3 linked regions of the Kluyveromyces lactis genome follow. Each later gene encodes a partner of the first gene's protein in a complex. Links are inferred from orthologs where the notes say so. Each region holds a gene or a part of one and is shown in the gene's direction. Other genes may lie near its edges.

The links. The genes of interacting proteins can lie anywhere in the genome.
Region 2: VPS54 (region 1) and VPS52 share a complex: the UniProt entries of both Saccharomyces cerevisiae proteins name them as parts of the golgi-associated retrograde protein (GARP) complex. The link is inferred for Kluyveromyces lactis from reciprocal best matches to the Saccharomyces cerevisiae genes VPS54 and VPS52.
Region 3: VPS54 (region 1) and VPS53 share a complex: the UniProt entries of both Saccharomyces cerevisiae proteins name them as parts of the golgi-associated retrograde protein (GARP) complex. The link is inferred for Kluyveromyces lactis from reciprocal best matches to the Saccharomyces cerevisiae genes VPS54 and VPS53.

The regions. Positions count from the first base shown.
Region 1 is NC_006042.1:414,351-419,766, forward strand, and holds VPS54 (Vps54p), read left to right. Parts: upstream 1-1,763; coding exon 1,764-4,304; downstream 4,305-5,416. Other genes in the region: RPI1 (protein phosphatase regulator REG1), read left to right, coding at 1-1,368; KLLA0_F04389g (DNA-binding protein REB1), read left to right, coding at 4,915-5,416. UniProt on the Saccharomyces cerevisiae protein: Involved in retrograde transport from early and late endosomes to late Golgi by linking the vesicle through the t-SNARE TGL1 to the Golgi, leading to the membrane fusion between late Golgi and endosomal vesicles.
Region 2 is NC_006039.1:336,354-341,366, reverse strand, and holds VPS52 (Vps52p), read left to right. Parts: upstream 1-2,031; coding exon 2,032-3,816; downstream 3,817-5,013. Other genes in the region: TRM10 (tRNA (guanine(9)-N(1))-methyltransferase), read right to left, coding at 1-263; RFC4 (replication factor C subunit 4), read left to right, coding at 760-1,722; HMI1 (ATP-dependent 3'-5' DNA helicase), read left to right, coding at 4,078-5,013. UniProt on the Saccharomyces cerevisiae protein: Involved in retrograde transport from early and late endosomes to late Golgi by linking the vesicle through the t-SNARE TGL1 to the Golgi, leading to the membrane fusion between late Golgi and endosomal vesicles.
Region 3 is NC_006040.1:793,174-798,521, forward strand, and holds VPS53 (Vps53p), read left to right. Parts: upstream 1-1,851; coding exon 1,852-4,263; downstream 4,264-5,348. Other genes in the region: chaperonin-containing T-complex subunit CCT8, read right to left, coding at 1-923; KLLA0_D09416g (uncharacterized protein), read left to right, coding at 4,570-5,163; spindle checkpoint protein MAD2, read right to left, coding at 5,281-5,348. UniProt on the Saccharomyces cerevisiae protein: Involved in retrograde transport from early and late endosomes to late Golgi by linking the vesicle through the t-SNARE TGL1 to the Golgi, leading to the membrane fusion between late Golgi and endosomal vesicles.

The DNA.
Region 1 (5,416 bases):
AGGCAGCACAGAAAGCAAACTAGTGACTTGCATGCTATTTTGGATCCGCAGTCAAGTCAGACAACGCATGACGATTATGATGCTATTGCCGCGAAGGTGAATGCACAATATTACAAAAATATCCATACACCGCCTGATGAATCGGTGGAATCTATTTCGCCCGTTGTGACCGAAACAAACTCGTCGATAGTAAATACCACTCCAGGTCCAATCTCTGGCTCTGTGATAGAAACCCCATCCGCAAGATCTGATCCTCCCATATTATCATCGATTCTTACATCATCGATGAAGCAAAAGCAAAAAAGGGAAAGACATATTCATTTCAATGACCGTGTCGAACAATGTATTGCGGTTAATCATAACCCCATAGACGCTAATCCTAATGATGACGAAGTCCCAATGACAAATACCGATTACCACTCTGACGATATGTCGGACGGTGCCAGATCTTCGCATCAGTATTCTGACTTTGACGATGGATATAGAAATTCAGGGGCCAACAGCGTCGAAGATTACGCCGATGACGAAGATGATGAAGACGCTGACAGCTACGATTATGATGAAGATGACGACGAAGATGACGAAGATGATGGGTTATTTATCAGTGCACATACTAGAAAAAATCGAACCAATTCGGGGGCTAGTGATGGCACAGATGTTGCAAATTCTTTAAGATCACTCTCACTATCCAAATTTCCAAACGCAACTATTAAACCACTTCCAGCCACTACTCTAAACTACGGATCTGACGATGAATATTATGATGAAGACGAAAATGAATGGTATTATGGTAACGCAGTATCACACAATGTGAATACTAGCAGAGGATTTGACTACATGTATGATTATAATTCCGTTTACACGGGGGATACATCCAACTTTGTAACTGTGGACAATTCGTGTGATATCCTCGATGTACCGGATGGCATTGGATTAGATACTCCAATACAGGACGCGAATGACGGATATATGGATGATGACTCAAGAGGGAAAATATATACATACCATCAAAGCCTTCCGGTACAAGATGATAACGATGAACATCCGGACAACGAATTCATCGCAGATTCTTCCCAACCTGGTTTCAGTCATGATGACGAAGAGCATGACGATAACGGTGAAGAACTAGAGCTTACTGCAAAAGACCCACTATCATTAAGGCGAACCTCATCTATAGGGAAGTCTAGAGCAAATTCCATTCATGATTTTATCACACCTTCCAATTCTGCATCTCCTGTTTTAAAACAGACACATAGCTTCATCACTGGAGAACCTTTATCTCAACACAATTCGACGGTAAGAAGACCACCATTAAAATCTCCTTCATCGGGTAGCTTTTTATTTGGATCTGATTCTGATTCTGAGTGATCGCTCAAGTGCTCTTAGGTATATTCGGAGTTCATTTTTTTTATTGAGGTTAAACTTAAAAATACCACTCTACCAGCATATATATTTTTTTTTCACTACGTAAATAGTATTAATTAGAAGAACAACAATTTTTCTTGGTTTTATCCATCTGCGTAGATCTCTCGCTCAGCGCTTAATGCTTCTATTGATTAACTTGCTACGGTGTTTTATTTATGTTGAGAGAGTGCGCTTAATTATATACTCAAACTACCATGTTCACTTTCTTTTAGAAGTATCATTGAATATGTAAAAACTGAAAATCGATTAAAGTTCATATTGTAAACAGATACATACACCTTTAAGATGCATAGCAAAGAAAAAGCTGTTCCAACAGACTATAAACCAGCGAGTTAACTATGCCGGATAGGTTACTGGGAAGTGAGACACCAGCTCTATCTCTAACTCCTGATAGTAGGACGCAATTAAGTCGATCTCCACTATTGGTGCCCAGTCATGCCTCAGATGATGCTAGCTCGTTGAACGATGATCTATCTGTATTATCTAGAAACAGGGATCAAATAAGGGACAGTATGTCTATGAGGCGTAGTAGTTTTGATTCCACATTCAATTCTTTTTCTACAACGATGCATACCCAAAAACACGGTCTTGATTATTCACCGTTGGTTGATAATTCAATATATGAAATTGTGATGAACACCAGATTTAAAAGATGGTTGCGGCACCCAACCACCGAGGATATTCCCCCTGTAGTTCTAAGCAAGAACGATATTAAGGATAAATGGGACAAGGATATTAATCAATACAGAGATGACATTAAAGACGAATATAGGGTGTATCAATCGACAAATAATATATCAAAGTTGAACCGAATGGAGCAAATGAGATCTATTGATCATGATAAAACTGCCCTTGGATTGCAAAATACGAAAGCCAAGGCATTTGAAGAAATACCTGAATTCTATTTTGATAAGGAGTTCAAATTAGATCACCCCAATTTCTTTCGAATGCTTCTACGAGATTTTGAGTTTGATGCCAATCAACTACTAAATGATGATGATAAAGTTAGAAATGACAGCTATGAAGAGCTTCAAGGAAGATTGGCATTCTACTTAGATACTGTTGAGGGACTCCTTGTTTCTGAAATCTCCAAGTCTATACAAAGCTTTTTTGACGCTTTGGAAGACGTCGATAAGATTAGAGAAAATGCGACAGAGACAATCAACGAGTTGGATTCTGCTGCTGAGGCCCTTGAGAGGATAAATGGGGATAAAATCTCAAAAAGAATTGAGATGATTAAAGATCTCATAAGAAGGAAAAATGTGGAAAAGTTACAACAGGGGATCCTACAAGTAAAACTAGCGAAAGAAAAATGTGAAGAATGTAAAGAAATATATCAAGAAGAAAAACTACAAGAGTGTTTGAAATTGGTTAAAGCAGTTGAGAACTTAATAAATGGTGACAATGATGATCCCACTGTCAATGATTGGACCTCTCAGTGGCCGTACAAACTCACAAACATCTCAAGTTTTTCTAGTTTACAGGGCATAATAGACATGCTAAATAATCTGAAGGTTGACATCGGGGGATCTTACTCATTGAGTCTGGTTACCGTACTATTGGAAGATTTGAGGACGTATTCGAAGTCTCAATCGAAAAATGACACGATCATCAAATTGCAATCTAGGAAGGATAAGAACAAACCTCATTTAAAGATCGATGAGACCTTCCGAAAGCAAATCAAAGAAAATCTAATACAATTAATCGATTGTGATCAGTTGGTTCCGGCAGTGAAGCTATACGAGGATAAATTTATAGCAGAGTTGAAATCTGTTATTAAGGTTAATCTACCGCATGAGAGACAAACACCTGAAGAGTCGAAAGATGGCTCTAAACCAACTGCCGCCAATGGGTCAAGGCTATCAAAGTTGATTCAAGAACAATCATCTCAAGAGTTCCAATCAATGCTTGTAAATATATTCACTTCTGAAATCGAACTATTGAAGAGGTTAACGCGGCATCAGAAAATGCTATTAGACATTTCGCTAAGTGAATTACCGACAACGGCAGAGCAATCTGATAAGATGATTATTGATCTTGATATTCGGAAAAGCGTTAACGAGGGTATAAGGATAGTACAGCTTCGAATGGGGAAAATAATCTCAGTGAGACGGGATATCACATGTACATTACGTTTCGATCATTTCCTTCAGTTCTACGAGATATGCATGCTTTTCATGAGAGAGTGTGAATCTATAAGCGGTGAATTTCTAACGAAGTATCTTTCTGACGTATTGAACCTCCAAATCGATACATATTTGAAATCTTTACAAAATTTGAACATAAGGGTTTTGAAACAAAAGATCGATGTAGAGAGATGGACACCATTCATCGTCGAGCCCGAATTGCAAAAGGATGTCAATGATATTGTATCGTGTATTGACATTGATCCGTCAAATTGGACACGATTCATCGAGTTGAACAAACCTTCTCCATTAGACGAAACAAAGGATGAGAAGCAATCCTCTACCGGTCACAAAAAATCCGTTGTCTTAGGTGATAAGACATTCGTGGCAAGCGAGGCTCTAATCCTTGCCATCAAAATGATCAAAACTTTATTGGTACTCGCCTCAAACTTCCCATCACAGTATGCAAGACATTGCGAACGTCAATTGTCCGATGTCTTGAAATTCTTCAATACAAAGGCAATAGAATCTATATCATCATCACTGACAGACAGACTATCTACAAAGACAGATAAAAACTTGAATATCATGGCCGAATCACTTGATTGTCTAGCGGAAATAACGCTACTACTACAAGGGTATTTCCAACGTACGCTGGGATCTAAGACAGATAAGTACGAAAACATCTGGAAACAATTACAACAGTCCAGTGAGAAATTGTTCCAAACAAACAATATCCCGCCTCCTGTTTAAGACAAGTACTACCCATCGGGTAAACAGTTCACTGCGCATGATAGAATAGGTGATATCTCAGTTGTACTGAATATTTATGCATATATATTAGCAATATGAATCACGTGATAGTGTGGACTCACTATATGCGTCTGTGTATGTATCGTTACCCTGCTTTCCGTATAATATGATCGCAATTTCTAACGAGGGTCAACGTTTTCCAATGAACATCATGAAAACATTGACCCAACGAAGCTTTGAAAAGTTAGAGATTCTGATACTTTTGAATTAGAATGTTTTGTTTTGTTTACCCTGACAAAACACCAAAGTGATAGTTTTACACTGGTACCTTAAGGCGTGTGAGAGTATTAATCACTGTTCAAGTACGCGCGGCATTTCTGGTCTGTTGAGCGAGAGGCAAGTAAACTACGGAAGAGTTTTATTGACCTGTATTATTAGTAATTGCCACTTTTTTTCTAAGGTATCAATCAGTCTTATTGTCTGGGTATTCCCATCTTAAACACATTGTTTTAGGTTAAGCAGAGCATTTATATCCAGCTCGTGTCCATATTCCATTGTGATTCAATCGAGGTAACCGGGTCTTGTTAAAGCTTAATTGTTTTCATTGATCATGTCGCAGAACGATACGAACCATGAGTCTGTTGAGGAGGCTGTTTTCAAGTACGTTGGAGTTGGCCTAGAGAAATCTGGGGAAGACGACGCTGTGAACAAGCAGAAGTCCGTAGATTGGTTTTTGAAGGAACAAGACCAAGACCAGGACCAAGATCAGGATCCGGGCAGGGACCAGGACCAGGAGGATAATGCGAAACATCGTGATGCTAACGATGTAAGTGCAGTCGCTGCAGCTGCTGTGGCAGCTGCTCTTTCTGTGAAGAAAAGAGGCCGTCCAAGCGAGCAAAGTAGTACTGGGTCTAGTGGCAAGGGTAGTGGTTCTTCAGGTCAGAATAATAAGAAGTCTAAGAAGAATAAAAATAAGCTACATCTAGCTGCTGTGGATCCTGAATTAGCATCGTTAGATGATAATTTGGTCGATGGGAACGATTCGGAGGAGCAATCTCATCACCAATTGGTCCATAAGGCAATCATGGACACTGATAACATCGCTTCTCAAC
Region 2 (5,013 bases), on another chromosome or scaffold:
TCTTCGCCTCTATCAGTATATTCCTTGAGCTTTTCCCTACGTGCCAATTTGGCACGATTTCTCTTCTCTTTGCGGATTTGTGCATATTCTGCCCTCGTCTCTTCAAAACGCTTCTTCCTGCAGATCTTCTTCCATTGTGATTTTGATATGCCTTCCGGAGGAGGTGGAAATTGTGGTGCCCTAACTATCGGCTTAGGTTTATCTTTGACATCTGAGGTATCAGCTGGAATCTCAGCATTTGAATTTTCACTGGTATCAGACATTTGAGCTTGTCTTCAATTCTTTATTCTCGAAGGACCATCTGCGATGAGCTTCCATATCGTTGGAATCTTTGAAAGCTTTCTCTAAACATTCGTTTCTTCTTCTGCATTTTTCATGTTGATAAAGTTTGAAAGTCACGTGGGTTTTATGTCACTGGATAATCGCTTCCTGTTTCGCGATTAACACAACGATTCGAATTATATCAATCCCGAGAGCGTGACACCATATTAACGTGCCAAAATTGATACTAGTAAGTATGTCCAAGCGCCTGATTGTACTTCTTCTCTTCTTGTTTTTTTTTTGGTTTATCAACATGTATTTATATCTAAATCTTTGAAACTTTGAAATGTAGAGAGCATTTAATTCACAGAGCCAAATGAAAATAATGGTTCTGTCGAGGTTGAAAAGAAAATACATAACTCTGGGTCACTATCAATTGACCGATTAATAACTATAACAGGGGGTTCAGATCAGTTCTTAGAAGATTGATTTTGAAAGATGTCCTACGCTACCAAGTTGGAATTACCATGGGTTGAAAAATACAGACCGCATTTATTGAAAGATATTGTAGGGAATGAGGATACGGTGCAACGGCTACAAACCATCGCTGCTGATGGTAATATGCCTCACATGATTATCAGTGGCCTACCAGGTATTGGTAAAACAACTTCGATACACTGTTTGGCACATGAGCTATTAGGTGATGCGTATTCACAGGCTGTATTGGAGTTGAATGCGTCTGATGACAGAGGTATCGAAGTCGTCAGAAATCAGATAAAGCATTTTGCCCAAAAGAAGTGCACGCTACCAGCAGGTAAGCATAAGATTATCATTTTGGATGAGGCAGATTCAATGACCAGTGGTGCTCAGCAGGCTTTGAGAAGAACAATGGAGTTATACTCTAATACGACGAGATTTGCTTTTGCATGTAACCAATCTAATAAGATAATTGAACCTTTACAATCTCGTTGTGCAATACTACGTTACTCGAAACTAACTGATGAACAGGTTCTCAAAAGATTATTGGAAATTATAAAGCTGGAAGATGTTCAATACACGAATGATGGTCTCGAAGCTATTATCTTCACTGCCGAAGGTGACATGAGACAGGCAATAAACAATTTACAAAGTACAGTTGCTGGTTTCGGTTTAGTAAATGGGGAGAACGTTTTCCAAATTGTTGATTCCCCGCATCCACTAATAGTCAAGAGAATGCTATTATCTGGATCTCTCGATGAATCGCTGCAATATTTAAAAGAACTTTGGGTTAAAGGCTACTCTGCGGTAGATATAGTGATAACTTGTTTCAGAGTAATGAAAAATCTCGATGAAGTTAAGGAAACGGTTAGATTGGAGATGATCAAGGAAATCGGCTTTACACATATGAGAATTCTTGAAGGTGTCGGGACTCATCTTCAACTATCAGGTATGTTAGCTAAAATTCAAAAGCTTAAATCGTAAATAGACTATTACCACATAATTAACATCCAAAAAGTAATCATAATGATTGTAAATATTTAAATGACCCAAAGTTTTCAAGCTTGGGGACCTATAGAAAGCATATAATTAAACTACTCCCCCGTTCGCTCACCGTCAGCATTTCGTTTTCCTGATGTGTGTGTGTATTACAACTTTCAGAAAAAATACGAAAAGCCTGAAATATATCAAAAAGAACATCGACTACACCGCAAAGAATACAGTTGGAAAAGAAAGATACTTCAAATTGTATTACACTCTGTTCGTGACAGAAAACCATATATTGAAATTATAATGGATGTTTTAAGCGATCTGTTAGAATTAGATGCAACTGAACTTCAACTGCCAGAGGATTCTCCATCAGGTAAAGATGATAACATTGATACTTACCGAGCCTACGTTGACTCGACCCTAAAAAAAGAATATCAATTACATACTGAATTCCTCAAGGAATTTGATGATCTCATGGAAAAGAACCAATCAATACGTACCTCTACTGAGACACTTATACCGAGTTTGAAAAATTACTTTGCCGAATTTAACAACAAGTTGAACGATTTGACTAAAGATCTCGATTTCGTTAAGGGTAAATTTTCTGAGTTTTCATCGTTACTGAAGAGTAACTCTTCGAAGTTGAAAGACATAAGTCCCATCGTTAATGATTTGATAATCTCTCCTGAAATAATATATCAAGTGTTAAGAGGCAAGATTGATCAAAAATGGATTGATTGTATTGATTATTTGAACGATAAACAAGAGATATTCCTGAAGTATCAAGAAGAAAATAAATCAGAGAGACCAAATGATTTCGAACAGTTGAATGAAATCTTACAAATACTAAAGGCAGTTTCTGCAGAAAGAGCTAAAAAATATATTGTGATAAGAATTAAGAGACTGAGGGACGGACATCCTGTGCCAGCGCAAAGAATTCAAGAGGAACTACTTCAGGTCAGAGAAATCTATCAAATGATCTACAATACCAAGTCGGACATAGCTACAGAATTACGAGAAGCATATATTAATACGATGAAATGGTATTATAAGACATATTTTGCAAGATATATTAGATCTTTGACAATTTTACAGTACGTCCAGATAGATTCTCAATACGCATTAGGACAAGGTCTTTCAAATACATCGGTTTCAGGATCTTATTCTAATTATCTTTATGCCAGTGGAAGAACGCTCTTTGGCGCACAAACTGCTTCCCACTTTAATGTCACTGATGACAGCATTAACGACTATTTCCAAATATCAAAACGGTTGGATCTTATCACGCAAGAAGATAGGACAGTTATGGTATCGCAAATTGCAGAGAATAATCCAATTGCCAATTACATCGAAGTTGGATTTAAAAATTTAAACTTGGCATTATTAGATAATTGCACTGCAGAATTTATGTTTTTGAATGAATTCTTCAGATTACCAACTGATAAAGGTGATCTAATACGAACCATTCTTCTGGATATCTTCCAGCCAACTTTTGATAATGCTATGGACTTCACGCATCAATTAATTGATACATCATTCGATATATTTGGTGTCTTAATCAGCATTAGAGTTGCACATAGACTACAATTCGAAGCGCAACATCGTCAAATCCCGTGCATTGATGATTATCTTGATGGTCAGTTGATTCTTCTATGGCCAAAATTTCAGAAACTTGTGGATTTCCAGTGTGAACAATTAAGATCTGTTTCAATAACAACCAACGTTGCCCGTGTTAGAGGTGCTGGAACCGCTTCAGACCCGTTAGTAACGCCTCACGAACTCACGGTACAGTTTTCCAAATTTCTTCTCAGTTTATTGAAACTATCGTTAACCCACAAGGAACTTTTAGATGAAAGGGCAGAACCGTTGTTCCACTCGATAAATAGAATTCGTGATGATTTCGAAACAATAATGACAAAATGCAGCAAAAAGACTAAAAACGCTGATAATTTCCTAACCACAAATTATATGTATATCTACAACGCCCTTCAACAATCGTTCCTCAGAACAGATTCTGAAAAGGAACCACTCATCCTCTCACAAACGAAAACTCATCTTTCACAGCTACTAGAAGCATATAGTAAGTAAATATATATATATATATGTATACGAACAACCATTACAGTATCTCGTTACGAATAACACATTCAATCTTCGATTTATTTAGTTGTGCCGTTTCTCGTTTATTTTAAAAACGTCAATAAACATAAACAGTTTCTACTTTATTTTCGGTTCCATATATATGCTAATTTGAGATGACCGAAACAGAATAGCTATATGAACGTCGAGTGACGAGGAAATCCATTGGGCTGATCCACTCAACATAGAGTGTAGTCTGTGGTCAATCGTATGATGAAAAGGCCAACTGATTCGCAGAATGAAATTATCCAATTCCCTTATATACCTGCTAGCACTCTGAAAGTTATTGCAGGACCCGGTTCAGGTAAGACATATACATTGCTATGCAAAGTTCGAGAGTTGATCCAAACGGGGCAGGTGAAACCCCGTGAAATTATTATTCTATCTTTGACTAATAAAGCAGTTGATAATATTACAGATAATCTTCTAGGCGTCTTTCAGGAATTAAGCGATAAACCGTACACTGACCATGAAGTTGATGACATTGTTTCCCAAATTGGTATTTACACGATCCATGGCCTCTCGAACAGGATAGTTACTGAAAATATGGGTATTGTGAACATAATCGAGGAAAACGGTTGGAGAGGTCTAGTCAAGCTCATTCCAAAAGATTTTTGGAATAAGAGAAATGTTAATACTGCTAATGACCGGATCATTACGAAGAAGCTTCAGAAACTTATAAATGAATACCAAATTGACACAGATAATATTGATGAGACCATTGAAAAAGTAACAAAGTTAATGAAGCATTCAAATGTTTTGACTAACGATGATTTAATCAAAATGGCTGTGGAATTCTTAAAAGAGCCGAATTCAGAAGAGGATACTGCATTCACCAAATTTGTACTAAATGAAGCCAAAGTTTTAATTATTGACGAATTCCAAGACTTATATCCAGGTATATTTAAACTATTAAAGACATTACTTGGTCAAAAACACTTTTTAATATTTGGAGATATCAATCAAAGCATTTATGAGTTTTTGGGAAGTAACAAAGAAGTCATGTCTGAATTGGACAGGTTAAGACCTGATGATAAAAAATTCACTAAGTACATCCATGACAATTTCCGTAGTACACCAGAAATAACTGCTGCAGCCAATGCTGTTATAAACCAAACCGTTCCTGTTCAGATTAAAAGAGAAAAT
Region 3 (5,348 bases), on another chromosome or scaffold:
AAATAATGTAAAGCAAGCTCACCAACACCGGCACCAGCAACAACACATCTAACACCAGTCTCGGCAATTTCTTTCATCATTTGGTCCAGTTGTTGTTCTTCACCTTTAGTGAAATCTAACATCTCCTGAGCATTATGTAAAAGCACAGTACCCTTGGTTTCGGTGTTTGAGATATCAATTGGACATGTAAACACAGCAACCTTATGCTTTTCACCTTGAGGCAAGGACTTCAAATGTCCTTCTGGTTCGCGGTTGAAGACTAAACCCTTGATAACAGATGAGTTGGTAAGGGAACCACCCATAATCTTTACCACTCTAATTGAGTCGACATTGAAATAGTTGGAATTTGGTAGCAAGACATGTGCCACAGCGTCTGATACTAAGGAACTTAAAATATCTTCAGAACCATATTGCTTGGATGCAATGACTGGCTTGATGACCTTGATTAACTCACTTTTTTCATGTTTGTTCTTGATATCCAACACAGACATCTTGTCAAGTTCTGCCAAAGTAAAATTCTTTGCCATTGTGTAACCTTGAATAATTTCTACAGGTGAAAGACCTAGCGCAATAAGCTTTTCACTAACATTCAAAAGCTCACCAGCCAACACCATAACAAGGTTAGTACCATCACCCATATCAATTTTTTGTTGTTCAGATGCCATCACCAACACTTTAACAGCAGGATGGACAATCTCTAATTCCCTTAGCATGGTAGCAGCATCGTTGGTCACAATGTGCTTTCCCAAATGATTAATGATGATCTTGTTTCTGCCGCATGGCCCCATAGAAGTTAAACACATCTGGTGAATCTCTCTAATGGCAGCGATCGATTTATTGATTTGACCATCAGCATTAGAGTACGAATTGTACCCTTGCTTGAACAATCCCGCATTAGGATTTTGAGGAAGTTTCAAAGACATGCTGCTTTTCAAGGATTTGTGAATTATCTGCTTTCCTTCCAAGGTATAGCTTTTCCACGTACAAGTTTCGTCTTCGCCACCTTTGTTCACGCACTGTTTTCTATATTTCAACTATGTTGTTAAAAGATACTTTAGCATTTTTTTTTTTCAGTATTGAGAGATATGCAGAAAATATGGGAATGCTTTAGCCAATAGTTACTAGGGACAAAGTGTCTGAATAAGGCATGTGTACATGTGTGTTTCTGGAGATCTGAAAGTACTATCATCTTACTCTAAAGAATAGGTATGTAGCTGGGTGATGGATGCATCCACGTCAACATCCTAGGAATAATCATAGCAGAATAGAGTTATGTATCTTAAAACTTCGCTGATCCTGGCAAATCAAACCATTTCAATATATAGCTCAGGAAGGCACTTACTCTGTTGTTCTGCCATATGCAAAACATATGTTTGTAAGAGCAGCATCGTTGGCTACACACTGTAACTCGTTGAGCAATAATATATTATGCAGTGCGAAGATTACATCGTTCTGGTATATGTACAGTGTCAATGAAGCTACTCAAAGGAATTGCTTCAGTAGCTCAGTCGGAAGAGCGTCAGTCTCATAATCTGAAGGTCGAGAGTTCGAACCTCCCCTGGAGCATTATTTTTTTCATAGTTAAAGGGTTTGGAACTGTCAATTCACCTTTTAAAGACTTTGTATTTTTTTTCGATATTTCTGATATCAGACTTTCATAGTAATTATTGCATACAGAAACAAATATAACAAGAACCTTTGTTGTATCATCAGTAAATGACAAAAAGAGCCAGCAATTGTAAGTTGCAGAGGTATAATTCTCCCTTCTCTATCCAGCTCCTCCCCATTATTGTTTCCTGTATTAGTATCACGCACATTAATTTGAATTGAATAACTAGAACTTAACAAGTAATGATTTCAGAATCTTTGGAATACGATCCCTTACACGATCTTCAACAGATATTCTCGAAGCAGGAATCTTTATCAGATATTGATAACCTAGTGCTATTAACCGAAAAATGTAAATTTAATTTAGAGGAGCGGGTACGAGAAAGCAATAACACCAGTTCAGAAGTCAATAGTTTAGAAGACAATTATGATTTCCACAAGTTGTTTGAGAAGATAAATTCAACGAAGTCTCTGTCACAGATTACTGAAGCAACCATATCCGACTTGACACATGATATTTCAGATTTGGATAACGCTAAGAGGAATATAACGAGATCGATGACGTGCTTTGAAAATTTGAAGATCTTGAGTGATGCATACGTGAACTCTAAAAAGTACATGCAAGCTGAAAAATACATTGAAATGTGCGGCCCCTTTAAAGTTATGCATTCCTTATCTGTATCTTTCCACGAATATAAATCTTTGGATGAGTTTTGTAAGTTTCTAAATCAAATTCATCGTTTAGAGAGTGATACACTATTGGTGTGTGAGAGAGTAACGAAAGAAGTGCTTAGGGATGGGTCTAACAGTAAATATGACAGCAAAACGATGAAAGACGGTATATGTTGCCTTGCGGACACTAATAAGCATTATAAAGAAAGGATTGTGCAATTGTGTTTGGATTCTCTATTGTATGAAATTAAAGAAATCTTCCAAATTGATGATGAAGCTGGTTCTTTGGAGAATTTGTCTAGACGTTACATCTTCTTCAAAAAAGTATTAAATAATTTCCAGTCTACTTTCAGCGAATATTTCCCATCAGAATGGGAGATACCTTTGAAACTAACGGATTCTTTCTTCACAATGACGTCTAACGATTTGAAAACATTATTGAAGAGAGATTTGTCCGGTACCACCTCCATTGACCTATTCATGCAATCGTTACAAACTACCTTAGAGTTTGAAAAATACATATCAGTGAAGTTTTCCCATATATACGAGGGTAAAATATCCACTTGCTTTGAGCCATATTTGAAATTATGGGTTAGACACCAAGATTCATCTTTGAACGCCAAGATGTTGACATATCTTAATGAGACCAAGCTCCCAGCTAAAAATGAATCGCTTGTCGTTCCATCCAGTGCAGACTTGTTTAGAACTTATAGACACATTCTTTCTCAAACTTTCAGCTTGATAGAAGGCGGTAATAAATCGACCATAATGGTGGAATTGGCGGTTTTCTTCGTCAAATGGTTGAATGAATATTATGAAAAGATTTTGAAACCATTGTTGTTACCTGAGGATACACAAATCGATGATAAGAATGAAGTAGTGAAATATACCGTTCTTCTTGTCAATACAGCAGACTATTGCGCAAATACAATTGATCAATTGCAAGATAAACTCTGTGAATATCTTGAGAATGATGAGCCAAATATCAACAAAGTTGCAGCCATTTTTGAACCTACAAGGCAAAAATACATGGATCTCGTATCGGGTGGTATCAATTTACTACTAAATCGCATCCTGAAGAAAGATTTGGAATTTGTATGGAGGGAGTTCACAAACACAAATTGGGCTAATACAATGGTGGAAGATTACAGCAGATATGTGACTACCTTACAGAGTATCCTCCTACCAACAAGATCGGAAAATTCAACATTTTACTCCACTGTTTCTCAATTCAATAGAGATCTTTATGGTTGGAATTTTATTGATAAAACTATTGATTTAATAGCTATCTCTTTTGAATCTCAAATTATAAAGCTCTTGAAACCAGCTTTACCATATGGCACTCTTAATTCGAAAAGACAGTTCGATGTGAAGCAAGTGATAAATATCGCAGAACAATTATTGTTAGACGTTCAACTATTGAAGACAACGTTGCATTCACTTCCGGAAAGTTTACCGCAACATGACACATCAGCTAAAAGAGTCACGAAACACATAGATAGTAATGTGGAAAAACTAATGCATCTTTTAAAGTTACTTGTCTCTCCTATTGACCCTGATACAACATACTTGGAAACCTATTATGCAATAACCGCAAGTCAGAATACAAACTCAAATTTCTGGGCATTTATACTAGCGCTAAAAGGTGTACCTTGGGATTTGGCACTTTGGAAAAGAGTATGGTCAGAATTTCAACAATCAGATGATGATACTCAACCGATGAAACCAGATGACCTTATTTTCAACCCTAGAGAACTACAAAACTTTATTTACAATCTATCGAGGGTATCAGATCCATCATGGAAAACATTTTTGGAGGAAGACCTCAAGATTAAACCTGTTCCACGTCCTGATTTATCCGTAGCTATACAGTCCTCCCCTAGTCCACCCACTGGGTCTCCATCCCCTAAGATTCCTGGACATAAATTGAATGAGATAAAAAACCTTATGTCAAACTCCAGTTTTTTTTTCAAGAAGGGCTAACTGCTTCTGTAGAGAAGCTTCCACACGCAGTTTGACCAACGAAACAGCAACACTACTTGTAATACTACCTTTACCTCTGTAGCAGATTTATCAGTTTAAATAGGCTTTTTTTAACATTTTCGAGGCATGTCAATGCGTCAAGTCAAAATGACACAGAAAACTCGAAGATATTATTTACTTATGAATATTAAGATATATCAGTTAACCTGAGCACTTACAATATATCTGATTATATGACAAAATGTGCCGCACAAGTTGGTTCGGCTATCGACTTTATTTTGAAATCAGACCTGGTATCCTCATGCAATGATTCCATTCTTCTACATAATGATTTTTTTCACTATAGCTGAAAGCACGCTTACAGATGCTGAGTTTAAGGAAATTGATATGTTTATAGATGTTGTTGGTGAATCACATTTTGCTCTGATGTTTCCTGTGGAATTGATCAGAACCGATTTGAATGATACGTTTGACCCAAAACAAGTTTACGATATTTTTGATGAATTAGCTGAAGAGCGCAAAGAGTTTCAAATAGTAAAAGAACTTGATATACCTGAGTTTGTGGCCGAACCGCTTTATGATAGGCTGACATATCTCTCAGTCAAATTGGATAATGGATACACCGTAAATCTAGCAAATGAAATAGCAATAATTCAGGATATAATCCAAATAGCAGCAGAGTCAGACAACATTAAACTCGATTTTACTGCTCTTCTTAGAGTTAAAGAAGAGTTGAGGGTTGATATGGCAGCCGTGTCAAAATTAAAGTTGTTCAAAACGTGCTTATTGTCCAACCTTTTCCCATTTATGCAGGAAGAATGCGAAGGACTCTTAAGACAAAAGCTAATTGAACATCTCAAGATTTGGATAGAAGTTTGGAAAAGACACCAAGATGATTGAATTAGTATGAGCTTTCTCGAGTTGAATTAAGTATTATGTGCCTTTTCTACTATATCTTGTTCCTATTTGTAGCATAAGTATTAAAAGGAAATGCAATAAGTTCAGCCATTAATTTTGTTAGAACTTATAAGTGACTTCAGCTCCCACTGAATAGGCCGATGTACCGAAAGACTTGAATTGCACAG